Arabidopsis thaliana: one gene and its partners. The protein of the gene in region 1 interacts with the protein of each later gene in a pairwise test. Each region holds a gene or a part of one and is shown in the gene's direction. Other genes may lie near its edges. The genes, in order: AT1G15610, AT1G14990, STE14A and AGP27.

The links.
Region 2: the proteins of AT1G15610 (region 1) and AT1G14990 interact in a protein complementation assay, tested with the Arabidopsis thaliana proteins (one large-scale study listed by BioGRID).
Region 3: the proteins of AT1G15610 (region 1) and STE14A interact in a protein complementation assay, tested with the Arabidopsis thaliana proteins (one large-scale study listed by BioGRID).
Region 4: the proteins of AT1G15610 (region 1) and AGP27 interact in a protein complementation assay, tested with the Arabidopsis thaliana proteins (one large-scale study listed by BioGRID).

What each region holds. Positions count from the first base shown.
Region 1 is NC_003070.9:5,366,115-5,373,813, forward strand, and holds AT1G15610 (uncharacterized protein), read left to right. Parts: upstream 1-4,642; 5' UTR 4,643-4,678; coding exon 4,679-5,070; intron 5,071-5,146; coding exon 5,147-5,272; intron 5,273-5,351; coding exon 5,352-5,565; downstream 5,566-7,699. Other genes in the region: IAA5 (indole-3-acetic acid inducible 5), read right to left, coding at 1-346; AT1G15590 (E3 ubiquitin-protein ligase), read left to right, coding at 1,260-1,645, 1,724-1,849, 2,091-2,118; AT1G15600 (uncharacterized protein), read left to right, coding at 2,809-3,164, 3,238-3,366, 3,470-3,647; AT1G15620 (uncharacterized protein), read left to right, coding at 7,439-7,699.
Region 2 is NC_003070.9:5,164,235-5,172,265, reverse strand, and holds AT1G14990 (uncharacterized protein), read left to right. Parts: upstream 1-4,001; 5' UTR 4,002-4,114; coding exon 4,115-4,233; intron 4,234-4,386; coding exon 4,387-4,468; intron 4,469-4,563; coding exon 4,564-4,680; intron 4,681-4,741; coding exon 4,742-4,771; intron 4,772-4,861; coding exon 4,862-4,912; 3' UTR 4,913-5,235; downstream 5,236-8,031. Other genes in the region: AT1G15010 (mediator of RNA polymerase II transcription subunit), read right to left, coding at 623-1,051; scpl50 (serine carboxypeptidase-like 50), read right to left, coding at 2,319-3,653; CPN10 (chaperonin 10), read left to right, coding at 5,612-5,716, 5,803-5,942, 6,285-6,336; AT1G14970 (O-fucosyltransferase family protein), read left to right, coding at 7,349-7,729, 7,919-7,988.
Region 3 is NC_003076.8:7,847,668-7,855,625, forward strand, and holds STE14A (S-isoprenylcysteine O-methyltransferase), read left to right. Parts: upstream 1-4,917; 5' UTR 4,918-5,087; intron 5,088-5,526; 5' UTR 5,527-5,532; coding exon 5,533-5,614; intron 5,615-5,700; coding exon of another isoform or gene 5,701-5,707; coding exon 5,708-6,294; downstream 6,295-7,958. Other genes in the region: PYRD (pyrimidine d), read right to left, coding at 125-199, 293-392, 482-519, 619-756, 950-979, 1,061-1,249, 1,340-1,595, 1,683-2,006 and 2 more; FSD3 (Fe superoxide dismutase 3), read left to right, coding at 2,957-3,043, 3,142-3,231, 3,510-3,701, 3,790-3,961, 4,063-4,136, 4,215-4,241, 4,330-4,353, 4,449-4,574; AT5G23330 (Nucleotidylyl transferase superfamily protein), read left to right, coding at 6,527-6,723, 6,903-6,955, 7,049-7,184, 7,319-7,494, 7,569-7,958. UniProt on the Arabidopsis thaliana protein: Catalyzes the post-translational methylation of isoprenylated C-terminal cysteine residues, resulting in the modulation of the function of prenylated proteins. Involved in negative regulation of abscisic acid signaling.
Region 4 is NC_003074.8:1,927,342-1,934,606, forward strand, and holds AGP27 (arabinogalactan protein 27), read left to right. Parts: upstream 1-1,526; 5' UTR 1,527-1,634; coding exon 1,635-2,012; 3' UTR 2,013-2,343; downstream 2,344-7,265. Other genes in the region: MEE32 (dehydroquinate dehydratase, putative / shikimate dehydrogenase), read right to left, coding at 139-360; NHX4 (sodium hydrogen exchanger 4), read right to left, coding at 3,497-3,859, 3,960-4,043, 4,142-4,343, 4,418-4,519, 4,613-4,713, 4,793-4,859, 4,952-4,998, 5,065-5,259 and 5 more. UniProt on the Arabidopsis thaliana protein: Proteoglycan that seems to be implicated in diverse developmental roles such as differentiation, cell-cell recognition, embryogenesis and programmed cell death.

The sequences.
Region 1 (7,699 bases):
CAAAATTGATATAGCATCCGAACAGAATTTGCAGAGCGGAAGCAAGATCTTGGTAACATTTGTACATTTCCAAATCAATCTTCCTTAAAAATGCAGCTCCATCTACACTCACTTTCACGTACGAACTTTTGGTCCGTTCGAGACTGTTCTTTCTCCGGTACGAACAAACCGGTGGCCAACCCACAACTTGACTCTTTTTCGCCGGTTCACATTTCAAATCAATCTCTACTTCCGGAGAAGCCCTCTTCTTCCCGGAGATGGACTCACCGGAGACGACGATATCTCCGGGAAGACCTAGCCGTAGTTCGGTGATTTCGAGTCCAAGATTATTACTCTCATTCGCCATCTTTGATGTTTTTGATTGAAAGTATTGGTGTTAATGTGTTTGAACTTTATTCTGTTGCCACTTTATATGTTCTCATGGGAACATAAACGATGGCGTTTGAGACAAGCTTGTTTAGCATTGATTTATCTTGTCGGCCCCATTCGAAGATCTTGTCGAAATTTTTATGTCATGTTTTTTCATTCCTTTGCCGCTTCGTGTTTAAATGTCGATAATATGGATCCGTTGGTTCGACACACTGGACGGCCACGATTTTGTTACCGACAAAGTAGGGTTTCTTTCTCAGCCGTTGGATCAGAAACACGTTACTTTCTATTAGACATCCCATGTTATGTGTGATTTGTTATGTCTGTATCCCATTCTTTTAATCAACGACATAATAATAAAACAACATATTCATGGTCGAATATATATTAGTGCACTTTAAAATCTACGTATATTTATGTTTCTCGACAACCGAACACGTGTTACTCAAGGCTAAGACAAGTTATTATATTATTTCATTTTTTTCTACACGTAACACACTACACAGTGCATACATAATTTCAAAGAAAAAAATGCATCTACGTTTTCGTCATATATCTTGTTTCTGCTATTCACACATGTGCCCGATACTTTCATTACATCATACGTAATCTACACATGTACACCATACTTTTGTCATTATTTGTTACGAAATAGAAACAGAACTGATCAAAATATCAATTACGGGATATATTTCCATTTTTCATAGATATTTCCATATCTTTGTATCTCCAATAGTACATTTTTGGAATGTTCACATGTTGATAGATAAGCTAGATTAGTCAAATTTCCTTGTACACAATTTCTAGTTTTCGATTGATCATGTAGAATTGCGTATAATATATTGTCGGCTGGCTTTAGCCAATGAATAACACAACAAGACTTTGTGATAATGGACAGCGAATCCCACAGTGATAATGATGATCACATAATCGACATTACAAACGATGAAGATTCTTCATCAAGATCGTCTTTGGACGAGAGAAGCTATCCTTCATTAAGTTCGTCTCTGTCTACGGATGACGAATCGTCAGATGAAGGTGCAAGTTCATCTACGAGAGACTGTGGTAGTCTTTGGAATATAATGGAATTAGTAGTCACTTTGGTTCAGATTGTTGCATCATTAATAGTTTTAACTCTGGCAAAAGATGAACATCAACAAGCACTTTTGTTAACATGGGTCATCGGTTACACTTGTGGCTGTATTACCATTACGCTCCTTATTCTCCTCTCGTGTGTCCGCAAATACAACCGAATTGGTGTTTACTCAAAAACGAGGTATAATAAACAACACTTGTTTCACTTAACATTAAGAGTTTAATTAGCTAAATCAAACCGAACCGTTGTTGGTGGCAGAACGGATAGGGTAATGGATGCTTTGAAGATGGGGAATGAATGTTTCTTTGTTGTGTGGTTAGTTATGGGGATTCTATGGATTTGTTATGGACACTCATCTTCTTCTGATACTCCTAAGCTCTACAGGTTTGACTCACAATCATGTCACAGTAGAGATTTAGTTAAACCCTAACTAATCAGTACTAACTTTTGTCTTCTTGATTATGTTTTGGCAGGTTATGTGTAGTCTTCATTGCTTTCAGTTGCATTAGATTTGCATATGCATTACTATTATGCGCAGGTATTTTTTTCGCTTAATGTTCACTAGAGTTTGGAACATTTTTTTCTCATATCTATGATGTGGATAAGTTGAAATCAAATGATGTAGATTCTGTAAGGGAAGGTATAGGAGGTAGATTTGTTTTCAAGAAACCGAGCCATGATGATGTGAGTAATAATTTCATATCACATTAATTACTCTGTTTTAAATAGCATTTTTTTGTTGTTGTTGTTGTTTAATTTTCATGGTTTGATGGTGTGTGCAGAGTTGTTGCATATGCTTGGGGAAATATGGAGAGGAAAAAGGAGTAGGACTAAGGAAACTTGAATGCTCACACGTATTTCATTCGCAATGTATAGACAAATGGCTGAAAATCAAATCCACATGCCCTCTCTGTCAATCACAAGTTAGGTGGTGATGAGATGAGGTTGATTTTTTTTTTATTTTTTTTTCGCTCAAGAGTAATTGTACACATTCAATAAACAAAAGTGGTGGGAAACTGAAAGATACGATCCTGTCTTCTTGTGTTGTCTGTCTTAAAACAGAAAATAAATATCATACAGATCATTTGACCTATTAACAATTTAACTTGTCCAAAACATCTGCAATATATATAAACATTGAAATCTCAGCTTTGATCTTCATTTTTCAAAATAATGTTTTATTTGTAACACGACTAATACGTACTTAGTATTGATCTGGTCTAAAAAAATACTAATAATTTTATCAACAAAGAAGGAAAGGTATATGCTTTGTGCTCGTCAACGCAAATTTGAATGAACTTTTCATTTGATCGGCAAGAAATAGGAAAAACCAAAAGTGATCAATGGAGGGCCCTTTGTTGAGCGAGTGTGAACACATCATTGACATTACAAGCGATGGTAGTTCTTCATCAATTGATGGTCAGCAACCACACGAGGGTGTTGAATTGGGTGATCCATACACAAATGAAAGCATTTGTAATTCAATCGAGTTTGTTGTGACTTTGGTCTTGATTGCTGCGGTCATAATCGTTCTGATTGAGCCAAGAGATGAAGAACATCCACAAACAATGTTGTCTATATGGATCATCGGTTATACATGTGGCTGTATTGCCACTCTCCCTATCCTATGTTGGCGTTTTTGGCTTTATAACCGAAGCGTTGGCTCCGAATCTACAGATGAATACTTAAGAGAGACAAGGTATATATAAATTGTGTTTTCTTTTATCTTTTTATGCATTAGATTGAGATATAATGGTTTTATTGGTTTGCAGAATCAACAAGGATATGGACTTTTTTATGACGGGTTTCTTCGTGGGTTGGTATGTGGTGTTTTTATGGATTCTTTCTTCCAAAGCATTCGACTCATCAGCTCTAGATGATACTACAACTCAATACTTCTGGTGCGTATCAAACGAAATTTCCAATCATATGTATACCTTAAAACGTATATATTGACCTTTCTTATACTCATGCCTTTGGCCTTCTTCATTGTCTCTTTTGCAGGTTATGTTTGGCTCTCCTTACTTTCAGTTGCATTAGATATGTTCTTTTTAATCTAACATTGGCAATGGTCTGTTATACTACTCCTTTGCTTTTACTTACGCCTGTGGTCATATGTGTTCTCCTTGCTGTGGAAGTCTTAAAAGGCATTGTAGCATGCATTGTATCATGCATCTGCTGAAATCGAACTAATAAAAATATTTTGTTTGTAAGCCTAGGAGAATGGGCGTTTAAAATCAAAGTAAAGCAGAGTACCAGAATAAAAATGTTTTGTGTTCATGTTGATGATTTTAATCTTATTAAGGTAGAGAAAAACAGTAGCTAAGGTTTTTTGAAATGATCAAATATGATCATCTCGTCTTATTTCCTCTTTTTATTTTATTTTTCTCCCTCGTTAATATTATTCTCCATTAAATGACAGTTTTGACTGACCATTCTTATTCGTGCGTTTTCGCTATTCAGATATGTATTTTAAGGGCCCGTACTTTAATGGGCTTTTTAAAATCTGACTTATTTCGAGTCGAGTCCTACCTCATTGTGACATTTACCCAAATAATCACGTGTTTCAGAATAACCTTTTATAGGCCTTATTATTTTGACAGATTTGGGTAAATCGAAATGGATATATAGATAACTTTAACACCAAAGATAAGATAACTAAGAAAAATAATAAAATATTATAGTTTCCCAAATAATAAAATTTAACACCAAAGATTTCTCCTTTTACAAAAAAGACATATTACTTCTTCTAGCTTCCCAAATAATACATCAAGCACCAAAGAATTAGGAAGACTATAATTTAGAACCAAATATTTTGAAATTTTACTCTAACGGGCTACAATTGACTAATAATTGGTCTTGGTGTAGGTAAAACAAAAACACACAAAACAAATGTAGCTCCGAAAGTCTACTCATTGTAAAGGACTTTATGTGATTGACTTAGAATTGGTATTGGTGTCGATTAGGTCTTAAGATAATAATATAGCTGGAAATGTCTATTATTCGTATTTAGAGAAGAATGACTAACTTTTTTTTTGTTCGTTAGAAGTTTACAATTGACTTATAGAATAGATCTTGACGTAGATTGGGTCTTAGAATAATAATTTAGCACCAAAGAATCGGAGAGGGCTTTATGTAATTTGTATTTCAACGCTTGTTTAGATGAACTATTAATTCGATTGGACAAAATAGAAGAAAGCAAAAAAGTGATCAATGGAGGGCCCTTTGTTAACCAAGAGTGAGCACAACGTCGAAGACGTTACAATCCATGGCGATTCTTCCTCAAATGATGAGCACATCATCGACATTACAATCAATGGCGGTTCGTCATCAGCTGATCATGAGCAAACTCCACATGAGGCATTTCAATGGAGTTGTCCATTTACAAGTGGAAGTTTCTGGATTTTGGTCGAGTTAGCTGTGACTTTGGTCCAGATTGTTGCAGCCATATTTTTTCTGATTCTAACAAAAGATGAACGAGATCCAGAACTAGATGTAGCTTTGTTTACATGGATCATCTTTTATACTTGTGCCTCTATTGCCACTTTGCCTTTTGTATGTTGCCGTTTATGGCAGTATATCCAAAACGCTAGCTCAGAGACAAGGTATAAACTGTGTTTCTTTTTCTTTTTCAGGCATTAGAGACTGATATCCTCAACAATGGTTTTTATTGATTTGCAGCAACGAGGTGATGGAGTACCGTTTGGAAAATTTTCTTGAATCTTTCTTCGTGTCCTTGATTGTGGTGTCTTTATGGCATATTCTAACCGAGTCATCATCACGTCAAGATACTAGTCGACACTTCTGGTGCGCATCTAACTAAATTTACAATTATGGCTAAACAACATAATTTACCTCTCTAGAACTAACAAATGTCCTTTTCCAGGTTATGGCTGGGTCTACTTGCTTTCAGTTGCATTCGATATGTGCTTCCTAATTTCCAATTTACCGTACAGTTATTCATGTTGCCTGGGGTGTCCCTTGTTACTGCACTTGTGGCCGCCATAGTAACGATGATTAATTCGTTACTCTCACTCTTTTTGGTCATCATTGGACTCTTTGCGTTAACCTTTTCGTGGATCATTGGAATGTGCGGATAAAAATGATGGATCATGTTGTTTTCTTCAACAATTGTTGTAATACTCTCTTTCTATTTATTAAATAAAGCCAAGTGTCATTAGCATTACCGAATCCTCTATTCCTGAAATGGCCGGCAAAACTGAAACTAAAGGCTTCTCTGTACCAATATCTCTGCAGCAAGATAAACATTTCAGTATCTGCATTTCAACATGTACAACTGGTTTGTCTATTGTAAAAGGCCTCTTTGGCCATCTTGATGAAGCGCTTCATGTTGAGACAGCATGTGGCACGCCCGACAATTCTTTTTAAGAGTGCACCCATAACATATATGTTCTTATGCTATCAAACAACCCACAAGGAACCTGAAGATGATAACTACTTGATAGAGATGATATGACTTCAATCAATCTCGATCGGGTTCGGTTAAGGGCACTAATAGATAACCTGCTATATGGGAGTGTGAAGACCATTAATTGGTTTTTCACATATATATGACTGAAGAAATCAGCCGTAACCAAATATTAGTGTTTTTGCATCAGTTGGGGCCTTGGGGGTCAATTATGGAGTGGAATAATACATGAAAACTTGAATGGTCGCATGCAGAGCAGAGGTAGCCTTTAAATTAAAGCACACATCAAAATGTAGTGCAATGTTGCGAACTTTTATTCAACTAAACAATTTAACACTCGATCTTTGTGCGCCAATACCTCTGCACAACAAACAATTTAATCTCATCAATATGATCCGATTTTGAAGAACCACCTTCTTCTTCAGTGACTTCTCTGGCTACCTTCCATTAACTGTCGCTGTCATAACGACGTGGAAGTTAACTTAATTGACTTTTAAAAGATTAATGATGCTGTATATTGGTCTTAAAATGGCACAAAAGGTTCCGTCTAGGCTTTGTGTTTCACTTTAAGTCTATAACTTAAAAAAAAAAAACTACTAATTTAGCACCAAATAATATCATAACCATTTTATTATAAATGACTATAATTAACGTAGAATTGGAATTGGTCAGTTGGTCTCGAGATAATAATTTAGCTCCAACGAATCGGACATATCTATGCTTTTATGTTTTTTTTTGGGTATAAGAATTTGTTATTAATTCTTATACCAAAATTATAGATATGATATTGTTTTATTTTAAAACAAAATAAATAATATATATATGAATGGTTTGATCTGATATTGGTTACGGTTAGGATACAAATTTTAATCCTGATACCATAGAGGTTTTATTAGTTCAATTTTCTTTCCGTTTGTTTATGCTCAACTTCAGATTCGTTGTCTTGCAATATTAAGATATGGTTCAATTATTGAGATATCATTTCAGTTACGTTCGCATCCGATTTGTTTAAGGTAATTGTAATGTTTTAATGATCACTTTTATTTGAATTCTGAAAATTGAAGTTTTAAAGATATTTTTTAAATAATCGATTTCAACAAAATAGAAAGAATTGTAATACATATTTTTTTTATCATAATATGAATTTTATATTTAATAGAAAGTTTCGATTATGCATTTAATTTCATACAATTGACTTTTCGACTGTTCATTTTTTTTAATTTTATTTTACAACGACTTTTAGACACTTCTTAGCACGAAAGAACTAAACGCAACATGTGCTTTGTAATTAAACGTCGAATGAATATGAATTATATTTGACCTAGGATTACGAATGATGTCGATCTGGAGTAATAATTTAGAACCGAACGACGACTTCGAAATATTACAATTGACTTATAGAATAGATCTCGACGTAGATTGGTCTTAAAATAATAATTAAGCACCAAAGAACTGGAGATGGCTTTATGTGCTCTGTGTTTTAAAGCGGATTAATAAGGACTTTTAATTCGATTGGGGAAAATAGAAGAAAGCAGAAGTGATAAATGGAGGACCCTTTGTTGACTCAGAGTGAGCACATCGTCGATGACGTTACAATCCATGGCGATTCTTCTTCAAATGAAGAGCACATCGTCGACGTTACAACCAATGGCAATCCTTCATCAGCTGATGAGAAAAGACCGCATGAGGGTGTCCAATGGAGTGATATATTTACATTTACCACTGTTTGTATTTTGGTCGAGTTTGTTGTGGCTTTAGTCCAGATTGTTGCCGCCATTGTTGTTCTGACTCTGGCAAAAGATGAA
Region 2 (8,031 bases), 200 kb from region 1:
AGCGCGTAACTAGGATAATTTTCAAATATCTTCAATCATTATCCTCCATATTATTTATTATTTATATTTTAGATAATTATATGATTATTTTACTGTTTATTTTGATTTTTGGGTTTTATTATAAATAAGCCGTTTATACATTCTTTTGTATTCAGTTAATTGATTAATTAAATTAAAGAGTTTTTAGAATACTCTTCTCTTTTCGGTAGATCTTGAAAGATTTCAACGATTATAAGAAGACGTAGGATTCGGTATTCGCAGAGAATCAACGAATTCTTCACGTTTTTTCGTTTCTTGTATTGAGAAATCAACAGATCTGAGAGACTCTAGTTTTCCGGTATTCCGAATAATCAACGGATCTCTAGTCATATGAAGCAAGGATTTTCTTCTACTACTTCACACTGATTACTTTTTTTTCCTAAATCATATGAAGTACGGATTTTTTTTATTTTTATTTTTCCAAAAAAGATGAAATTAGGATTCTTTAAACAAAATCATTATAGAATTTCTCAAGGTATTTGTTGATAATAAATAATTCCATTTTAGTTTTGGAAAATTACCTTAATTTCGACATAAAATAACAAAGATAGTTTCTAGATAAAATAACAAAGATATTTACGGATCATACTACGTGAACGGCGTCCAAAAGCCAAAGAGCTAGATCAAGGATGCGAAAAGCAAAAACGGCGGAGGAGACGGGAACGCTGACGAGGAGAAGAAGACACGTTCCAAACGCGACGCTGGGACGAGAGTTCATGAGAAAAGTTTGGAGAAGAGTGAGTGCATCACATATAGTAGCGTCGTAGTTGCAGTAGAAACGTTTCTCCCATTGCATCCAATGAGAAGGAGGTTCAAAGTTGCGTTCAACCATCTTCATCTCATGGATTCGTTTCCTAAGGACCACCATGTTCTCGTCCACCGTTCTTCCTCCTCTGTAGTAGTCTGCACACACGGTGGTGGTTCGTCTTCTATTGGTTCCGGTGGCGATTCTTTGTGATGTCCTCAATGGATGGAACCTGAGTGTCGATGACGAGATCAGTATCATTTCCATTTTCTGTTGCTTAGGAGACACAATTGGTGGGATTATTTATAAGTTATATTTGGATAATATTTAATAAAAACGGCTAAGGCTGCTTTAGCGCGTTACCTTATCGTAATATTGATGGGGTCACCATCGATCACGTTTCCTTACAATTTCACTTTTGTTTCTTCTCAATTTCAGCTTTACACGTCTTTTACAAATTTGTCGACACGGCCAAATAAAAAAACATCAAACATGAAGCTCCGATGAAAAAGATGGATCGGTGTTAAATTGGAGATATCATTAAATGTCAATCCCATTAACGTACTATCCTCATAATTTATCAACCAATAATTATATGTACATTGACCTCTCCTTTGTTTACATCCAAAAAACGTACGAATCAATCCATATGATTAATTAAGGAATCATGGGGTACTCTCATACTTAACATTAATTTAAGAAATAATGGTGAAGTGATGTCTATTTTTTTTGTTTGTTCTAACAATGGTGAGGTCAAACGATGGACATAGATTATACACAGTAGCCCAATGGGCTTAATAGTTACCTAACTCTGAACCCAATTTTTTCTCGGCCCAACTAAAAGGATTATCGTCCGCCCTAACTCTCCTAATTTCGCACTATAAAGTTGCGAGTTTCACAGGTTTTAGCAGGAGCCGTCATTAGGGTTCCAATGAATTTTGTTTCAATTTTTCGATGTTCTGAATATCATTCTCTCAACAATTAGGCGAAAGATTGATTTTCATATGATTAGTAGTTTTCTTTCTGTTTTCCGCGAATGTTTTTCCGAGAAAATTGAATCGGGAAAGAGGCAAAAAACAGGGGAGAGATTTTGATAAATAGCTCTGAAATACCTGTAGGTTTTCTACGGGGTGCCCTTGCTCTTCTTTCCCTAATACCAAAATGGCTTCATAGTACGGGTTTCTTTGTGCTTTCTCTGTGTTTTGTGTATTTTTTATACTCAAATCACTTTGAATCTCATTCACAATCCCGCCTCCAATCGCCATTACATGTTTTTAAAAATTCTTTAGTTTATGCTTCAAATCTCCTTATTCTTACCAAAACAGTTTATCTGAATCAATCCTTAAGTGTATACTGTATGCTAACTTTTTTGAGAAAGTTTAAGACTTCAGGAACAGGCAAATGATAAACTAAGTAGCAAAAGTTACCAATTCGTACTAAAATGAACTTGTGAACATGACGTAACAAATCTAAATCCAGAGTACAATTAGAATCTGAATTGAATCTTACAGAACTAAGTACAAGTACACAATATTTAGATTGAATGGTATAAGCTCGACGAAGTTGTCTGCTTCACATCTTTACCACCGAACAATCCTTTCCCCAAAACCCAACCTTCAATCATATCCCTTGAATTCACAGCTTTATCTGTCGGAACAAAATGACCAGCTCCTGTAACCGCCACGTGGCACAAATTCCCCCATCTCTGAACATAACCAGCGACCACACCGTCTTCATCCTTCCACACACGCCTCTCCGCCGTCGAGAACATTCCCAATCCTGACCAGTTCATAGTCTTCATCCACTCCTCCGTCGAAACGACGCCGTCTCTTAGATCAAGCATACCTTGATACAGCAAGACTTGAGTCCTCTCCAATGCGTACTCCACCATGAACTTTACGCTCTTCATCACGTCTGCCCGCAACACATCTTCTACTTCATCACTACATTCCTCAAAACGAACCGTTTCACTCACTCCCAAAACACGTTTTGCTTCTCTCTGGTTCAAGAGGTCCACCACGAGGTCTGTTCTGTATGGAATCGCCCGTGCCGTGTTGTAGAGCGTCGCGAGTCCTGTCATGTTACTTAGTAGCGTCAACAGTTCGGTCCTCGCGTCTGCTGCTTCACGCCATTTCTGGGACTTCACGAGAGCTACAGATATCTCCTGCGCTTTTTGCAGTTCAACTCTCTGTTTTGCGTTGACCAGACCCGAGTAGTAGACGTTGACCGCATGGGTTTGAACCTGGGTCACCGGGTCGGTCAGCCCGTTTCCAATGGCTAGCCCCTTTAGATTCACTTTCCCATTGGGTTTCTCTTTAAGGATATAGTATCCAATGGCTGGAACGTACTTCCCGGCGTAGCTCTCTCCAGTGAAGTAAACCGGTCGGTTTTCGAAGCTTGGGTTTTGTTCAAGGAACTCCACGAGAGCGGCGTAAAGATGCTCAGCGACCTGTCTCTGATTTGTGGGTATGTCTTGTTGTGAGGCTGCGATGCTGAATCCGACTCCTATTGGGTTATCCACAAAAAGTAGTCCGAATAGACGGTTCCATGCGCCGGGGTTGCGCTCGAGGTCTGTGGCGCGTGAAACTACACGCCAGGGACCGAGCTCGTAAAAGTTGCCAATCATTGAAGAGCAGCCTGGCCCACCTTGGAGCCAAACGAGGAGCGGAGTGTCAGGAAGAGGTGTGGTTGGCTCTTGGGCTTCGTAGAAGGCATAGAACATGGACGAGCCGGGTGCGGGTTTAACCGGGAGGTAGCCAGATTTAGTGGGGAGAGCTTCATCGGGAAATAGCGGTGGCTGAGGAGACTCAACGGAGACGGCGAGGAGGAGAGTGGAAAGCAATATGAAGAGTGTAGTGGCTTGCTCCATTATTTCCACTAATTGGTGACGCCTTTACATAAAGATCCCTTTGTATTATTTCATTTATTTCATTATTTGACTGCAAAACATTACGTTTATGTTTTGTCTTGTATAACATGTGAATTTTTAAATGTGTAACAATAACATTTTTGTCAAGACGTGCTTGCTTACTAACCTAATTGCATTAACATGTGAGTTTTTTAATTTAAAGGTTTTTGTTTGTAGATGATTTTCCATAATGTATATTATTTTAAATTTATTGTTGCCAAAAGAAATAAAATCTAAAAGTTTTATTGGGCCGAAAAGAGAAAAAGGTCAGATAGGCCCATAAAAAGTTGGACAATACAAAGCGTTTACAATTTGTCAATTGCAAATTTCGTGAGATGCTTCTTCTACTCGTCATCTCTGTTTGGTAAAGTGATCACAAGGTGTTCGATATAATACCTGAAAGAGTTTCCGAAGGTGTGAAGATGATGATCTTGGATGTTTGCTCAGAGGTTATAAAGATCCAGAAGCTACGACGGGCTGTCTCTTACGCCGGATTCTACTGCTTCACTGCTGCCCTCACATTCTTCTATACAAACAACACGTAATGTCTTTCGTCCGATCTCAGTTTGCTTCTTTTGGTTGTTCTTTCTTTTCAATATCGGAATTCGCAGATGATTTCAATTTCTGGGTTCTTCTCTTGGTTTCTGCTTCAGGTTTAATTTGATTTAATGTTACTGATTCGAATGTTGTGTAGAACAAGAGCAGGATATTCCAGGGGAGATCAGTTTTATGCATCTTACCCTGCTGGCACCGAACTTTTGACCGACACAGCTAAGGTTTGTCCTTGATGACAATTTTGAGTTGTCGTTTACAGTTTATATAGTTGATTAGTTCTGTGTGGAACTGATGATTGGGGTTTATTGGAGTAAAGCTGTACAAAGCGGCGCTTGGGAATTGCTATGAATCTGAAGATTGGGGTCCTGTTGAATTCTGCATAATGGCTAAGCATTTTGATCGCCAGGGAAAATCTCCATACGTTTACCACTCCGTAAGTTTCTTCAATCTCTTTATGATAATCTCTGTGGTGCGGATATTTTAGTGTTGTAAAGGTCAGTTTCCATAAGTCTAGAATCTTGATGGTACTGACTTTGTGGTGCCATTGATAGAAATGTTTGTCGAATCATGTGGGGTTAGAACCAAGAATTGAGCTCATTTTATTGTGAATGCAGCAATACATGGCTCACCTTCTATCTCAAGGCCAACTCGATGGAAGTGGCTAGTGGCGCCAGCTCTCTTTGTTTCAGCTTTGTGCCTAATCTTGTTATAGCAAATTCGAATCCTGGTATCTTGGAACATTTGTATGGTGTTTGTATAAGTCCGGAACCGTACCATTGGCTTACATGGATTATTCAGATTTGTACTCTGAAAATTAAGAGCATGTAATTCCCGCAGAGGCACAATGTAATAAACATATAGCATAGCAAAGCAACAATCCGGGGAAAAACTTTGGTTACCACCTTGAAAGAAATGGGGAAAACTGACAGAGCAAGAAGCTTTCCATCATCAGCAGAGACGTTTGATAAAAGAAAGGTCAAGATTTCATTCCACGAAAAATCTGCCGAAAATAAACATCTCATTCTGGATGTGGTATATGAAATGGGATTGTACATGGAGTTTGAAAAACTTGGCAAAGAGAATCATGGAAGGAACTAACCATTTGAGCTGCAAGGTCATACAACACTTCCAAGAATTTATTTAGACAAACACAAATGCGACTGGTTTTTTTTAATGAGTGAGGCCCATTAAAGAAATAGTATGATATTATAGGCCCAAACAATCCCAAAACCCTTGGCCTTTTTCTGTCGCGCTAAACCCTACGATCTAGAACCTTCCGTCTTATGTGTCTCTGCCCCAAATTAAAAACTCAGAAACCCTAGAAAATTCCGATTCATCAACTGAGAGAGAAGAAGAATTGAGAAATGATGAAGCGTCTGATCCCAACGTTCAACCGCATCTTGGTGCAGAGAGTCATCCAGCCCGCTAAAACCGAAAGCGGCATTCTCCTACCTGAGAAATCCTCCAAGGTAAAAGAGCTTTGATTTCACGATTTGATTCTTCTGATTTTCGCCTCTTAGATCTGAAAAATAAACATATTTTTGGGTGATTGCAGCTGAACTCAGGCAAGGTGATAGCTGTTGGACCTGGATCAAGGGATAAGGACGGGAAATTGATTCCGGTCTCTGTGAAGGAAGGCGACACTGTTCTTCTTCCAGAGTACGGTGGTACACAGGTCAAGCTCGGCGAGAACGAGTAAGTTAAACCCGCTTCTTTCTTATTATTGCCCTAATATTCTGATAAAATTCTGATCTGATCTAATTGAACCTTTATGTTTAGCTAATCATGTTCAGGAATCATTATCCATTAATTAGATTAATGGATGGAACTAAGGGAATTACTTGTAAGACTGTGAAGATATTGAAAATTTTGTAACAGAGGATTTAAAAACATTTTGATCAATGTTTAATAATGCCAATTTGAACACCAGATTTACATATTGATTGGTGGGTTGATTTTAGAAACGAATAAGAAATTACAAATGAAGAAGAATTTGACTCAAAGTGAGTAACTTTTGTGTTTGTGTGATGGACGCAGGTACCATCTCTTCCGGGACGAGGATGTTTTGGGAACTTTGCACGAGGATTGAAAAGGCTAAGCTTGCCAACTTAACCACGAGGGTTCATGTTGGTGTTTGTGTTATGAGGAGAAGTCATTTATAAATTAGTTTATCTTGAAGATGTGGTTGGACTTTGTTGTCGTTTATCATTGAATCTACCTTTATGAACCTGTCTTTGAATTTTTACAAATGGGCATCAATCACATGGATAACCCAAGTGTTGCATCTTCTCATTTTGTGCTTTTCCGTAATCTGTGGATGCTTTTCGTTTACGTTTAGGCAGCAACTTCAATAGCCAATGTAGACGATAGCTTAGTTGACTTTGCTTATTCATGATCATGCTATAACAAAAGAAATAAGCTCATTTGGCCGCATGGCTTTTTTTATATAGCATCTCCTTCTTCACATATTGACAACTGAATCAGGTCGAGAAGTAGGTCCATGTCTATGCATTCTGAAAGTTGTGTCTTTTGATTTCCTTTTCACAATGGTTGGAAAACTACTAATTTTGGATTTTCAGTTGTTTAACCCACTCGTTTGGATGATAAGACAACTGTAGTATATTGTCTTGTCGCACCTTCAAATTTAGTATAGGTTGGTTGATTGAAAATATTTCATCTTTCTAACCAAAAACTGAAAAATGTGTATGAAACTCATTGCTATTTTTGGACAAGTCTCTCTGCCAATACAAATTAGACCATACGTAGAAACCGATGCATTGAATTCTCACGTTTAACAATAGTTTTCCATAGAAACTGAAATCAAAGAATTGAAGAAAGAAAAAGACTAAAGAACTATAACACATAAGAAAAGCCAAATAAATACTCAAGTACATGTGATTAATCGATCATGCTTCCACCGCACGAGCGCATACATACATAACATAAATAAAATTTCTCTCTCTTTTGCTTACTTCACTCACAGTTTCGCCGCCGGGATAAATCCGTTCAATCGGCGTTTGCCACCTGCCATTGTTACAAGCAATGCATTATATCGTTAATGGCGTAGCGCATTGAGAAGAGAGAGAGAGAGCAGGGAAACAATGATTTCCCAGGTGGAGAGAGATCTGTCGATTCAAAATCGGCTTCCGGGAAGCGATCACACTACTCCTTCTCCGCCAACATCTCCTCATCTCTGCCGGAGCCGGTCGAAATCCTCCTCTGTCTCCGGGCAACAGCAAAGTCGGAACGTCGCTCACCGTCTCTCATGGATCATTTTATCTGTTCTTCTCCGGCGTCAGGGAATTCTCCTTTTCGCTCCTATCATCTACATCTCCTGTATGCTTTTTCACCTACACGCGGCGTCGTTTGATGCCTCTCCCATTATCCACCGCCGTCCTGCTCCGGGATCCGTCTACCGGAGCCCTCAGGTTTACGCTAGGCTTCGCGGCGAGATTGAAGCCGATAATACCACGGCTGATGCGGTGAGGTTTGCCTCCGTTTTATCCCGCTTGTGATATCGTTTTGAGAATGTGGCCATTGTCGAACATAGATTGATCCAATTAGAGTATAATATCTAGGAGAACGTATAACAATGTTGAACATAGATTGATCTCTGTTCTTTTCTTGTTCCCATTTGTCATGTATCGTCAATGCAATTGTATTCATTTAAGATATCAACAATTTGGAAGCGTTCCTATAAAGGTGTAGAATGGAAGCCATGTGTGAACATGTCTACTGGAGGTATTTTACATTGTTCTCCTAGTTTCTTCGTTAGTGTTCTTTG
Region 3 (7,958 bases), on another chromosome or scaffold:
CAAAAACGATGATGTTATTGTTGGGGGTAGAAAGAGACAACTGAATCAATGAACTTTAAATACAACTTGTTTTGTTGTTTTAAGAAAAGGGATCTTTCCGCAGCGTATTGCTCTTTGAGTTTTATCATCTGTGATCAGCACCAATTGCTTCATGGATCGACTTGAAGCCATCCCTTTCTAAGCATTTCACCAGTTCCTCCTATTGCAACAACAAGACATGAATATTAGTATCAATCTGACCTCAAAATACAGCATATGTATGTTTTTGTGTTCTTTATGGGGAAGGAGATACCTTTATTTGTGGGATGAGGGCAGGTCCTCCATAGGCAAATCCCGTGTACAGCTGAACAAGAGTAGCTCCAGCTCTTATTTTCTTGTAAGCATCCTCACCACTAAAAACACAAAAGATTCACCTTAAATCATTTTCTTGTGTTTCTTTTGTTCTTACAACTAAAGCATCAGAGGTATGTTCGACGTTTACCTACTAACCCCGCCACAGCCTATCAATGGAATCTTTCCCTAAGGAAGAGAACATGAAAATATCCAAAAACCCATCAGAAAAGGTTTTAGTTCATTGGTCGATTAGTGGATCATCTTTTTTTTAGGATAAGAACTTACTCGTGTCAAAGTGTACATATCTCTCAACATGTTGGTGGAGAGAGCAAAGAGCGGTTTCCCGCTCAAACCACCTGTTTCTGTTGCCACGGGGTTGTTGCTTACAGCATCAGGCCTTGAGACTGTTGTATTTGATATGATCTATAGGACCAACAAAGACAGTATCATCATCATCATCGAAAGCTTTTATGATTTGCAACATACCATACGTACAATCGAAAAAAGAGACTATTCTAACACTTTAATCGCTTTTACTACACTACGTTAAACAGACTGGAGGCTTCATTGATTGACACTGATGTAACATAAGTTAGTTCATAAGAGGATAACTTACCAGCCCATCCAAGTGCAGAGCAAGAGCCACCTACACAAACCAATACAATGTTGTAAGAACCAATTACTTGAAAACTATAGAATGTGTTTTAGCTTTTTTAGTACTACGTACCGCTGCAATATCTTCAAGCTCTCCTCTGGACAGATCAGGAGCAATCTTCACAAGAAGAGGAGGAGGACCTTCATCACCCCATTGCATCTCATCCCGAGCAGCTTGAACCTTCTTTACAAGGTCCTTCAACTGTTTCCTTCCTTGAAGCATGCGCAGTCCTGCAGTATTGGGTGATGAAACATTGATCACCTGAAGAGAAAAATGAAAATTAGGAACAAAGAATTCTACGGTGGATTAGATCAAATTCATGTTCGATATATCATGGTAAGAAGTTTGTACCAAGTAATCAGCATACTGGGATAAGTTATGAACTCCTTGGACATAGTCAGCAGCAGCATCCTCACTCGTCTTGTTCTTTCCAAGGTTGACCCCAAGAATACCAGGTCCAGATTTTCCCCCTGGTTTTACATCATCACTTGGAGATGACGAAGTAGCTGATGTTTCAGCCAACATTCTTTTACCATGTTGAGCACCCAACCGCTTTGCAACGACAACAATCCCTTCGCTATTAAATCCACACCTATTGATAATAGCTCTGGGAGGACCAAAATATAAGTCTTTTAGTTTAAACTATCTTGCTTCTTCAATCATTGAAGGTCTTTTATAGATTAGAGATTCTCACCCTTCTTGGCTTAGTCTGAAGATACGTGGTTTCGGATTGCCTTCTTGTGGAACAGGAGTTACAGAGCCTACCTCAACAAAGCCAAATCCCATCCCTAGCAGTCCCTCAGTAGCCTCAGCGTTTTTGTCAAATCCAGCAGCAAGCCCAATTGGGTTTGAGAATTTCCTTCCCCAAACTTCAAGTCCCAAGATTGCTGGATCAGGCCTCTTTTCTCTAGGTACCCACCCGCGAGCTGCAGCTGAAACAGCCAGCTTATGCGCAAACTCAGCATCCAGAAGAGCAAAGAAAGGATTCACAACCTTTGTTGCGTTGAATAGCCACCCACTGTCCAACACACAAAATAGGTAAGAGGTAAAAAACAAAGTGACTTCCTCAAAGTAACTACAAGGTAGCCTTAGCAATGTCAACTAACAAAGAGAACAAAAAGACTAAGTTTCAGGGCACTTATTAAGTAAAGTACCAGAAGGTTGCTTCATCTGCAGTACTAACATAAGCTCCTCCAGCTATGGCCAGACCAATGGTAGCTCCTGTCAATATCCTTCCCTATAAATTTTCAAAGTCAAACACTTTGCTCTTGTAAAATGAAATAGCATCAATGATCTAACTCTACTACACCAATTAATGTGCCATATTCAGATCAAAACAAGAGTTGCAACTCCTTATCTTAAGGAATAAGATTCCAATATGATTCGAATAAACCAAAAATGAGATTAATTTATCAATAAATTCATCAAAGCTACTCACTCTCTTGGAAAAATGAGGGACTTTCGGTGCAGAAGAAGCTCCAGGAACCGAAGAACAGTTACGGGTAGCTCCAAGAGGATTAGACGAAACCCTTCTGAACAAAAACTCTCTCGCCCATTTCGCCGACGACGTCGCAGCCCTTCCGGCCATTAGGTAAGATGATTAAATCGACAGTGGAATCAAACAGAGTTCGAAAATGGTTGCTTTGAAATCTATAAGAAGAGGGTTTTAGCCTTCTAGCTCACGGCTTGAATCTTGATAGAGAGAAAAATATACGCTTTTTGTTTGTTGTTCGGTTACAAAGGATCGTCAGAGTATTTGCTAAAACCCTTGCTTCCTTCAGGTTGATCTTTCCGGTTCGATTTACCGGTTTAATGTAGTTAACCGGGGTAAAATCTTATATGTTAACCGGTTTGAAAAGAGATTGATAAGGAAGGCCCTTTCTCTGAAAAAGCGAGACCAAGAGTGCGAAGTAGCTCTCTGTCTTTCGAAGCAGAAGTGAGACTTTGACGACAACAGTGGGAGGAACTATGAGTTCTTGTGTTGTGACGACAAGCTGTTTCTATACAATTTCAGATTCTAGTATACGTTTGAAATCCCCCAAGCTCCTCAATCTGGTTCGTTTCTTTGTGTGACATGGAAATTGCTGTGGTTCTGTTTCACATGAATCTATCTCTTTTAAGCACTAAAGCTTTCAAATTTCGTTTCCTTATAGAGTAACCAGCAGAGAAGACGCTCTCTTAGGTCTCGAGGTGGTTTAAAGGTTGAAGCTTACTACGGTCTAAAGACACCTCCTTATCCACTTGTAAGTGCAAATAAGACTTTGGTATTTGTATTTGGATTCTAAGTGTAGTAACTATGTCTTGCTTCTGTAATCCAATTCTGTTCTCGACTAAGCACGGAACTGTAGAAAGTTTGTTAATTTGGGTGAATTGTCTTGTGAGTATAGGAAAGATTGTGTCTTGATCTGTGTATCTTCTATCTTGCAAAGTAGATGTGTCTTGATCTTTAGGGCCTTGGTGATATGTCAAAGAAGATGGTATAGTTGAGATTCTAATTAGAGTTAAAAACAAATGTGAATAGGATGCTTTGGAGCCGTATATGAGTAGAAGAACACTAGAAGTGCATTGGGGAAAACACCATCGAGGTTATGTAGATAATCTGAATAAACAGTTAGGGAAAGATGATAGACTCTATGGATACACCATGGAAGAGCTTATCAAGGCTACATACAACAACGGGAATCCTTTACCCGAGTTCAACAACGCTGCACAGGTACTTTATATTCTAAGTAACTTGTACATTATCACCCGAGGCACACACTAATGTTGGAAGGATTGATGATGATTATGTTGTTGTTTAGGTCTATAACCATGATTTCTTCTGGGAGTCGATGCAACCTGGTGGTGGAGACACGCCTCAAAAGGGTGTTCTTGAGCAGATTGATAAGGATTTTGGTTCTTTCACAAATTTTAGAGAAAAGTTCACTAATGCAGCTCTTACTCAGTTTGGTTCTGGATGGGTCTGGCTTGTCTGTGAGAAACTTGACTAGCTTTTCACTTGGTATTAAACTGTAGAATGACTTTGAAAATGGAAAATTTTGATTCTCTTTTTGTTTTTTTCTGGAAAATTTCAGTAAAGAGGGAAGAGAGAAGGCTTGAGGTGGTCAAAACCTCAAACGCCATTAACCCACTCGTGTGGGACGATATTGTATGTTAGAGTTTTATTAGTTAGTTTTCTTGTTGAACTTAATGTTACCTCTTGATCACATCTCTTTTGTTGTTACAGCCAATCATCTGCGTGGATGTGTGGGAGGTACACCATCTCCTCTCTTCTGTCATTCTTCCAAGAAACACTTTGAAACATTTTCTAATATCTTTCGTTTTCTTATCTTACTTTGCAGCACTCTTATTATCTGGACTACAAGGTAAAAACCTAGCTTAAATTCCGACCATTCTGTGTTCTTTTTGTTCGTTCAAAAGGCTAAATCAGTGTTTGTTTCTTTCTTTCTCCGGTTGCTAGAACGACAGGGCTAAGTATATAAACACATTTCTGAACCACTTGGTGTCGTGGAACGCTGCCATGAGTCGGATGGCCCGTGCAGAAGCGTTTGTGAATCTTGGTGAACCCAACATCCCAATCGCTTAAGCTAAACACAACTCCTTGGAAACTTGGGCAGTCTCATTTTTGCAAACAGAGGTCTCAAGTCCCAAGTCCCAACCAACAAAACAAGAGTTGCTTTCTGAATGTGACCCATCTTTTTGTTCTGTGTAATTTAGCGACAGTTTTCTCTTCTTTTGCCTTTTGAGAGACTCTCTAGCTTTAAGATCATCAGTGAGCCCTGTATGGTGACAGTAATGTTAGTGACGCAATTAACCCTTATTAAGTTATAATAAAACGAAGGCTGGCTCACGTGACCCGCACGTGACTGAGAGTATCCGTTTCCTCTTCTTTCTTTTCTTCTTCTTCTTCTTCTTCTTCGTCTCCTGACAATAGGGATTGACACCATCGTTCACTTCAACGTAAAGGTATAAACTTTCTTCCTCCTTAACGTCAAAGTTTCACGCGATCGTCTCTGTGGAACTCCCTCAGCATCGGGTAATTCCCTGATTTTCCCAACTCGCTCTCGCGGAAACTCTCGATTTCGATTGGGCTCTTGAGGTTCTGTTCATTTCCTCGTCTATGAATTTTCTACAATTGATTAGGAGTCGTGCCCATAACTGCGTGAGTAAAAAGGGAAAATTTTCTTAAAGATAAGCAATTTCAAGCTTTGTGTTCGTGAAATTTATCCTTGTATGAAACTTGCAATGCGATTGTTGTGTTGGTTGGTGGGTTTTCTGTAAAATCTCAATGTTCATGTAGGACCTGGGTTTTGGCAGATTCAGTGCCATAAAGACTGTAGTGTTAGTCCTCATATTACATTTGTATGGTTGCTAAATGGTCAAACTGATACTAGTATAACTCAGAGATTACAAGATTTATTTGGATCAAGATCATATGTTTCCTTGATGCCAAAACTAATTCATTGTTAAGATTCATAAAATCGAGTATATAGCGAGTTAACGTTTACTTGAATTTCCTCGTTCTTTATCCTTTGTAGGAGGTTATGCAGTTCTTGGATCCCCTGAGATTTGTTGTCAAAAACCAGCTTCCATTACTGATACACTATGCCTCCGTCTCATTCTCAGGTCTGTTGTAGTTCTTGAAACAAATTATCATAAGCTTTGATCAAACAGGAAAGAAAACCTCTTATAATCTTTCTTGATTGATAAAAATGACAGAGATCTTCAGTGACACCAGCATCAGACAGTTATCTCAAATGCTACTATCACTAATCTTCTTCCACATATCCGAATACATTCTAGCCATCACCATTCACGGAGCATCAAACGTAACTCTTAGTTCGCTTTTAATCACCAAGCATTACGCTTTAGCAATGCTTCTGTCGCTTCTCGAATACCTAACGGAGATTATCCTCTTCCCGGGGCTGAAACAACACTGGTGGGTCAGCAACTTTGGACTCATAATGATCATCGTTGGGGAAATCATCAGGAAGGCAGCGATAATAACAGCGGGAAGATCGTTCACTCACCTCATAAAGATCAACTACGAAGAGCATCACGGGCTTGTGACTCATGGTGTGTATAGACTAATGAGGCATCCAAGTTACTGCGGTTTTCTCATCTGGTCGGTCGGGACACAAGTTATGCTCTGTAACCCCGTTTCAGCAGTTGCGTTCGCGGTTGTCGTGTGGCGGTTTTTTGCTCAGAGAATACCGTACGAGGAGTATTTTCTGAATCAGTTTTTTGGGGTACAGTATCTAGAGTATGCAGAGAGTGTTGCCTCTGGTGTTCCATTTGTGAACTGACACTTGAATTATTTTTGAACATATGAGTTTGATGTACTTGACTTGAGGTCTTAAAGTCACAAAAACATACAAGACCCTCTGGCTGAAAGAGAAGGTCTTGACGTGGATATGAAATTTACCACAGCGTTAATTGTTTATGTGACACCTGTCACCGGTGATGCATAGCTCCGGCGAAGAGTTTCGGAGAACAAGTTTGGTCTTTTTAGGGGTTTGAGCAGTGGAGTCGGTAACCATGTTATGCGGAGGCTCTCGCGCCTCCGTGCATTTGTGGGACCATCGTCATCCTCCTAGGCTCGGTGCTAAGGTTTTGCGGAAATCTTCGTTCATGCTCAGACCTTGTTCGGCTATATCGCAGCAGCGGATAAAGTCGTCGTTTAGGTCTCACTGTAAAACTCCAAGAAAAATCCCAGCTCCTCTCGATTGTTTCAGGTTTTTGAATCTCGCTGTTGTTTTGATTGTTTTTGTATCCGAATCTGATTGTTTTATGTGAAATTTCCTGATGAGCTTTAAGATAGAGATTTCTGTTAGATGTTCTTCACTATGTTCTACTCAAATTTTCAAAATTGGAGTCTTTACTAAAATATTTGGCTGTAATTCTTCTTTCAAAGCCAGGGAGATGATCATCCTGAGCTTTCAGCTGAAGGGCTTTCCCCAGTTGCAGGTATCTGTTTGTCATTCAAGTTTCAACTGCCTTCCATCAGTGGCCAACCTTTATATGACCTTTCTGGATTATGAATTTGTTTTGAATTTGCAGGAGGCATTGTTGCTCTAGGGAAGTTTGATGCCCTGCATATCGGTCATCGAGAGCTTGCAATTCAAGCTGCAAGAATTGGTACTCCGTATCTACTGTCGTTTGTTGGATTGGCTGAAGTACTTGGTTGGAAGCCTAGGTAATTTCTCCGTCTACCTTCCCAATTAACTTAACATCCCCTTGATCTAAGTTACTTATAATCATTAGATCATGACTCTACTGATAAAGTTTTTTTTTTTTAATCTGTATGTGCTTCTCACTTCTATTGAACAGAGCACCAATAGTAGCCAAATGCGACAGAAAACGAGTGCTTTCCTCTTGGGCATCGTATTGTGGTAACATAGCACCGGTAGAGTTTGAGATTGAATTTGCCAGCGTTCGACACCTTAACCCACAACAGTTTGTCGAGAAGTTGTCAAGAGAGCTTAGAGTCTGCGGAGTTGTGGCAGGTGAATTCCAAAAGAACATCTCAAAGGTTCCCTTCTTTCTCCGAAAATTCTCATTCTAAGTTCTTTTCCTTTAGGCGAAAATTACAGGTTTGGATACCGGGCTTCTGGTGACGCCTCTGAACTTGTGAGGTTATGCAAAGACTTTGGTATCAGCGCTTACATCATTAACTCCGTGATGGATAAGAACCAAGTCTCTGTAAACACAGAGGAGGAGGACTCAAAGTCGAAAGAAAGAGGTCAAGTCTCATCCACACGAGTCCGTCATGCTCTAGCTGCAGGAGATGTGAGGTATGTAACAGAGCTCCTCGGCAGACCACACAGGGTCATCTCTCGGACAAGAACACAAGATTTAACGAGCAAAAGAGGGAGGATCTCGCTTCAGACATCTTCGCTACTAAATTTACCACCAGGGAATGGAGTTTACAAAGCATGCTCGCTTATAGTTGGTGATAAGCATCCAATTT
Region 4 (7,265 bases), on another chromosome or scaffold:
ATCAAAGTCTTCATCCAAAACTAATACCAAATTTATTTGAAGCGATAAATCTGCAAATTCATCATTACCTATCCTTCTCCAATAAAAACGGAACAGAAAACAACAAAAGAAAACTGAACTAAAGGAAGAATCACTAACATAGACATTGCTAGGTTCCATGCTTCGCCGGCGCCTTTGATCGGAAAATACCACCGGAAACGGTACACTCCTTAGCCGCGGGGACGAAGAATCGGCAAAGAAGCGAGTGGAGAAATCGGCGGCTGGAAAACGGAGATTGGCGACGGAGGTAGGTGAAAGTCGGGGTTTGGAGAGTAGACGAGGAGGGTTGGTGAGACGAGCATTAGTTGAAGAAGCTGCCATTGAGAGGCGACAAACAACAACGACCCTTTGCGGCTTTTTTTCACAACTTTTATTGGATTTCTAAATTTTGGTATTTTTAACGTTTTTATACGCTAAAAAATGGTAGGTGAAGTTTCGATTAGGCGCAAAAAAAAATTATTTATATCTCCTTTTCATTTTCTGATATTGACAATTATATATGTTTGTTTAAATCATCAAGAGAAAATTCGTTATCTGTAATCTGAAGTTAAGAATTATAGCAGAACAAATGACATCAACAATATGTGATTTTGTTCACACAAAAAAGAAAGTCAAACAAATAGAGGTCAGCAAGTTCTTGAGTCTTTAACTACACTGGTGGCCATTGTTGGGCATGCAATGTAGAAAACTCAGCACGTTTTGCACTACAATAGTGGGCTGCGTTTTTTGGGCCCATAGGAAGCCTCTTTAGTGGGCTCGAATTGCATAGCAAACTAAAGAACAATAAATAATAAATAATAATAATAATTCCCACACACCACAAAGCTTTTCTTAACTCGCCAATAAACTTTAGTACAAAAGACAACAAAATATTTGTTTAGGAACAACCCAATATAAAATGTGCTTTTTATTTGAACATCCAACGAGGCAACAACAAACGTAATTAGACCATCTCCATTGAAGGTATTTCATAAGAGTTTTTCACAATTAAAAAAATAAAAATAATGAAAATGAAGGAGAGAAAATGTAGAAAGTTTCTCACTTGAAAAATTTTGAGATATTCTCTACAACCCATCATGACAATTCTCATCTCACTATTGATTCAATTTTTTAACAAAATTACTTTTTTAATCAAATAATTAAATTATAATATAATATTAATATTTTTTTTGTTTTAGAAACTTTGTAGGTTTCTCATGGATGGAGATGCCTTTACTCGTACTTAGCAATATGTATAATTTGCATTAACATAATATTTTTCAGCAAAAAGTAAAGCACATGTTTATTCGAAAATATGTGCAATATATAAGAGCTTCTACTAAAAAGTGAAAACTCGATCTACGCCCATCTTCAAGAATTCAGCAAATATATTTTCTTTTCCACCGAACACATCCTTTAAATTGATAAATAATAATCTTTTTGGAAAAAGGTGAGACAAATTCCATTTAAAATCAATTTATAATATTTTACTATTAGAGCTAAAAGTTTTCTTTTATAGAGACAGTATCATTATTACAACACAAAATGCGCTCTCATCAGTTAAGGAAAAAAACAACTCAGCTTTGATTTGTTCATCATTACAGTAACCAAAAAAGATGGCTTCATCTATATTGCTAACACTCATCACCTTCATCTTTCTCTCCTCACTTTCTCTCTCTTCGCCGACGACAAATACAATCCCATCTTCGCAAACAATCTCTCCCTCTGAAGAAAAGATCTCACCGGAGATCGCTCCTCTCCTCCCTTCACCCGCCGTCTCCTCCACTCAAACCATCCCTTCTTCTTCAACACTTCCTGAACCAGAAAACGACGACGTTTCCGCAGATCCTGATCCCGCCTTCGCTCCATCGGCTTCTCCTCCGGCTTCATCTCTTGCTTCTCTGTCTTCTCAAGCTCCCGGAGTTTTCATCTACTTTGTCTTCGCCGCCGTCTATTGTTTCTCGCTCCGGCTTCTTGCCGTTTCAGCTATATAGGTCATTCATATATTTTAGACCACGTACGTCATTATTTTCATGAGTTTATTTGTCCCCTAAAAATAACGAATAAAATTAGATTTAGTTTGATTTTCAATTTTTTTTTACTATTTGTATTTTTTATTGTTCTCCACTTAACATTTTGTTACAGTTTTAGATTGGTTTAGATGAAAAACGCAAGTAATATATTACGTCAGAACCACATAATTGATGCATAATTAACTTAAGAACTCTGGATAAAAATAAAAATAAAAACTAATTTACCGTTAAGTGATTCAATACACTTTGAGGACTTATACTTTTCTCTTCTTTTCATTTCATTTGTTCGTTTACTATACACTAACTTTTTTTTTTTTTTTTATCGCTAAGCTAAAGAACCTTTTGAAAAAGTTGAAATTACGTTTCAAATTAAAGTGACGTCATATGCATGCTTTACAGTATACTGCAGTTTATAGTAGTATCAAAATCAAACGTTCCAAAAATTTGTACTGTTTACATGCAAATAACACTTGAGTAATTATATGTAGACTACTAATTAATTTCGACATAAGTTTATGTAAAACACCAGTTTTTTATGATTATTTTTGTCTTAATCTTGAGACGTGTTTATGAACTGAATGAATGTATTACTTTGTGAATTAACGTATTTAAGTATAGTGCATTATTGCATAATTCCTAAAATGCCACAAGGTTAGAGGCGCATGCATGTGAGTTACTGCATATGCTGGCCTCACGGCTAAAAGCAACAACAAAAAAAGGTGCCTTCTTTTCTTGTCCCACACTTTATCTTATTTCTGGGGTTTCAAAGTCTCAATATTAAAATTAATAATATCTAGGTGAGAAGAAATATGTAAAGGACGTTTCTTGTTTTCACATTATAGGGTTTTATGCGTGAAAGATTGTATATGTTACTATAAGGTTGATTGATACCCACTCACTTTGTCCTTATATACGTGCAAGCATAAAAATAAGATTAGATTTCTCAAAAGTTATATTTATATATAAGTTATCAGTTTATTTGTATATTGTCAACAAGTTTCTTGCAAAACCCAGTAATAAATTATGAACATTAGAAAGATTCGTGTCCCTTTGTTTTGTATAAGAAGTACAAGAAAGTGTACACAAACTTTAGATTAAAAAATCTGCTCACGTCCCACCAACGCAAACTCGAATCTCCAAACGCAGACGCTAACGTCTGCATATGAGCTAGGTGTACTCAAGTCACCCCTATATCAGTCCCTATTTACATGGACAGTTACAATTTTTCAACAAAACCACAAACTCAAACAACGAAAAACGGACCGGCTTTACAAAATCACACCACAAACCAAAAAATCACACCGGGCAAATAAGAACTCACATCCAAAACCATTATACCAAAACTGGAGGCAAAAAATTAGAGCCGGCCCATGTTGCGTCTGCGTCCAACAACGCCAAAAAACGCGATCAACAAGTCAAAGATCTTACTCATGTCATTATGGTCATCAAGGTTCGCCGTTTTGTTCCTTGTTTTCTACTTCTTCACTCCATTGCGGAACACTATTCTCAATGGGTGAACCTGGAACTACTGGTGAAACGCCTCGGCCACCAAATATGCGACGCATAACTGCGTTATCGAATTTCCTCCAGTAATGATGAATGGCCCTGGACGGAGATTTCCAGAACATTCTGAAGCTAACATGTTGTTCAGGGTCGTATTCTGACTGGCCTTGGGTACTGAGCAACGGCTCATGGAGGATCGGATCGTGGAAAGAAGATCTTAGTGTGATCTGCAGCGCGGTCGTGGAGGACTGTTTTGATGAAGGCTGCAAATGTTTGACTAACGGTTTGGTTAGCAATCCAAACACCTGCAAAAAAGGTTAGAGATTAGGTTACGTGTTGGATAGGCTAAACCCGATTTGACTTCAGTAGGAAGCAAACCGGTTTGAACAAAGTGTTGAAACGTACCACAGTACTGAAAAGAACAACAGTGATGGTACTGGTGATCATGATAGCGTTCCCAAGAACCTTGGTGTGTCCTGAAGTTGTGAACTATGATGTAACAGAGAGAAGAGATTAAGTCATGGGAACTTATTAAAACCCAAAGATCACTTTTTTATCTTTGTTTCTTGTAGTTCACGGATCAAAACCTGGTTATAAGCAAGAGCCATTGACACTGCACCACGCATCAGACCAGCCCACCAAATGGTTACTTGTTTCTTTAAGTCTATTTTCTCATCCGGTGAAGACTTTGTTAAATTGGACAAGAAGGAAAGTGGAAACACGAACGCGGCGCGACCCAGAAGAATAAGCCCAAGAAGTATTGAACTAACTCCAATCGACTGACCAGGACTGCCAAAATTGTTAAACAATATTATGAAAATGAAACAAAAGATATTGATGTATTATCACACTCTAAGTCTCACCTGTTGCGTACAACGTCCCATTTCTCGATATCGAGAGCGTCCATTCCAACGTAAAGGAAGATAAAAATCTCAGCTAGAAATGACATTGCAGCAAAAGTATGTCTACGCCAAGAAAACGTATACAGTTTAGTCAATCAAGCACAACAAATTAGTAGAGTTATTTTCTAATTATTGGGAGAAGAAAAAGAAACTTACTTTGTAGTGACCTTGGATTTATCTGTAACATTGTGCCATGTATAGTGAGACATAACAATCCCGCAGAAGAACACAGTCAAGATAGAGCTCAAGTGGAATAGCTGCAAAGGATATATGTATCATGTTTTCATTTTCTGTTGGAAAAAATGTAACCAAAACGTTTCAAATTTTTCTTATTACCTCTGCCAACATATATGATAAGTAAGCCAATAGCATCATAAGTGCAACTTCACGATCAGTAGAGTGCCTGATGTTACAAAACAAAACAAAAACAAAGCAAAAGGATTATTAAAGAAAGGGTAAAATCACATTTTTAACCATCAGTAGATACGAATATACCTTCCTATATAGAGCTTCTTGATAACAAAAGCACTGAGCAATCCAGCCTAAAAGAAAACGAGTGAGAATTTTTCGGGTTTAGAAATTTGAGGAGCGGAGAGAAAGAAACTTACTGCAACACCAAGTGCTGTGCTTAAGATAAAGAGGTAAAAAAAGTTTCCAGCAAACTCCAAAGCTATGGCTGAATTGATATTTGTGAGGTCGAATCTCTGTATTGCATTGAAGAGCACGACCGATGTGGCATCGTTCACTACACCTTCTCCAAAGACAAGACTGTACAAGAGAGGTGTCTCGTCTTGATTAAGCACCTAGATTTAACAAAGCGTGCAAGTTAATTTTTGATTAGAAAATGTAGTAGAATAATATCTTTGAATGTTTCAGAAAAAAAGTTCTTACTTGCAAGGTGCAAACAGAGTCTGTAGCAGAGAATATTGCTCCAATGGCTGCAAAATCATCAGTACAGATTTAAACAGTATGAGACTTAATGAATAAGAACTTGAAAAGGGTTTTCTTTGTTTCAGGGTACCTAGATAGTCCGCAATGGTAAGATCACCGATATTCATTTTCTCGAAAAGATGTTTAGCACCTAGCCATAACAAAAACAAAACCGGAAACATCATCAAAATATATGAGACTCATGATATTGAAATGTGGGAGTTGATTGAGATTGGTTTTTTACCAAATGAGATGATAACAAATGAAATGAGAGTTCCAATAGCACCAAATAACATAATGGTCATGAAGTTGCGAAAAAATTGCTTCTTCTTAACCTGAAACCTGTAACAAAAAAATGTGTTACTCAATTCCGACTTTCAATTTTTCATGAAATTCTATATAAAAAGAACTTACCCTGCGTTGAATATAATTGGTGGAAGAAGATAAATAAAGAAGAGATCTTCACTAAACACAAGAATCCTTGAGCTTTTGCCTCCACTTATAAGCAAGATCACAATCCCAGTACACGAACCCTATTTTTGCGTAATCCAAATTTAGAATGTTTCTAAGCAATGTGTTTAAAGATTTGGGGAAACAAAAAAAACGAAGCTTACAATGATAAGAGCAGTGATTGACTCGTTCATCCACCGAGTCTCCTCAAGCAAGTGACCAAGCACGATGCAAGCACAAAGCAAAGCTACGAACAAATTCATGGAGACGACCGATGCATGATCAGAAGCGAAAAGAGCCTCTGTTTTTTCCAGCATTGTGCTTAATCCGATCACCATTTCCAAATCTCAGCTTTAAGAGTATATTTCCTATATATATGTAAAAAAACACGAAGCGTGATTTGTGGAATTTAGATTTCTGATTGAATTAGTATCTAAAATTGTATAGTTTCCTTCTTTAGCCGCCGAGAAAAATTCAAATCACTAAAATTCCTAAATAGGGGAATAATAAAACATTCCAAAATCATAATGTTCCAGAAGAATCAAAACCCTGGAAAATTCCAAGAAAATTTGAAAATTCCTTTAGAGTTTGTGTCAGGAAACATGTAATTTATCAATCTTCATCAACAAGAGCTCAATTTATCACCTCCATGAACAGTAAAAGGATCTAAATTAAAAAGCATCCACAGAAATGTTTTTAAGAAAAAATCGATAAAGCATTCAAACACATATTACCTGGCAGAGTTATGACGAGATTCGAAAGATCGAATGATTCAGTTTGGTCGTAGAGAGGGATGTAACAGTTCTGTTGAAGGGACAGCAAAGAGACGATCGAAGACGAGAGACCGCCAAAGATGGCGTAAATATATAAATAAAGATTTTTTTTGCAGAGAAGCCAAGTGGAATAGAGAGAGGTCAACGGCTTTTAAATCTCATATTAGCTAATCTCCATCGTCTATTTATCCATCTCAAGAACTTTATTCCAATTAAACGGTTGAGATGATTTTGTTACACCGTTGTTATGACCGTAAGTGGAATTAGCTCATTGGTTATCATGTTGTCGTGTAAAAGGAGTATCAAAAAACAACAGAGGGGAACACGCTTTTATTTTTCTTATGACCAAATGTAAATGATCTTAGGATTATTCTCTTTTTAGGAATAAAACTGAATAATATACTGTTTGTACTGTATTCTTTTTATGGCACCGTATTACATAATAGCCAAATACTTCCTTAACAGAACTAAATTACGTACTTTGAATGATAACCAGTTTCATAAACTGACCCCAAAATATTTATTTGAATTATATTAATTGTGATAGATGGGGGTTGTTCTTTCTTATGTCATTCGACGTTTACTTGATAATTAAATATAAGTTGGTCATTTTTTAATAAGGTTTCCACGAATCTCTGATGAAAAATAAATACCAA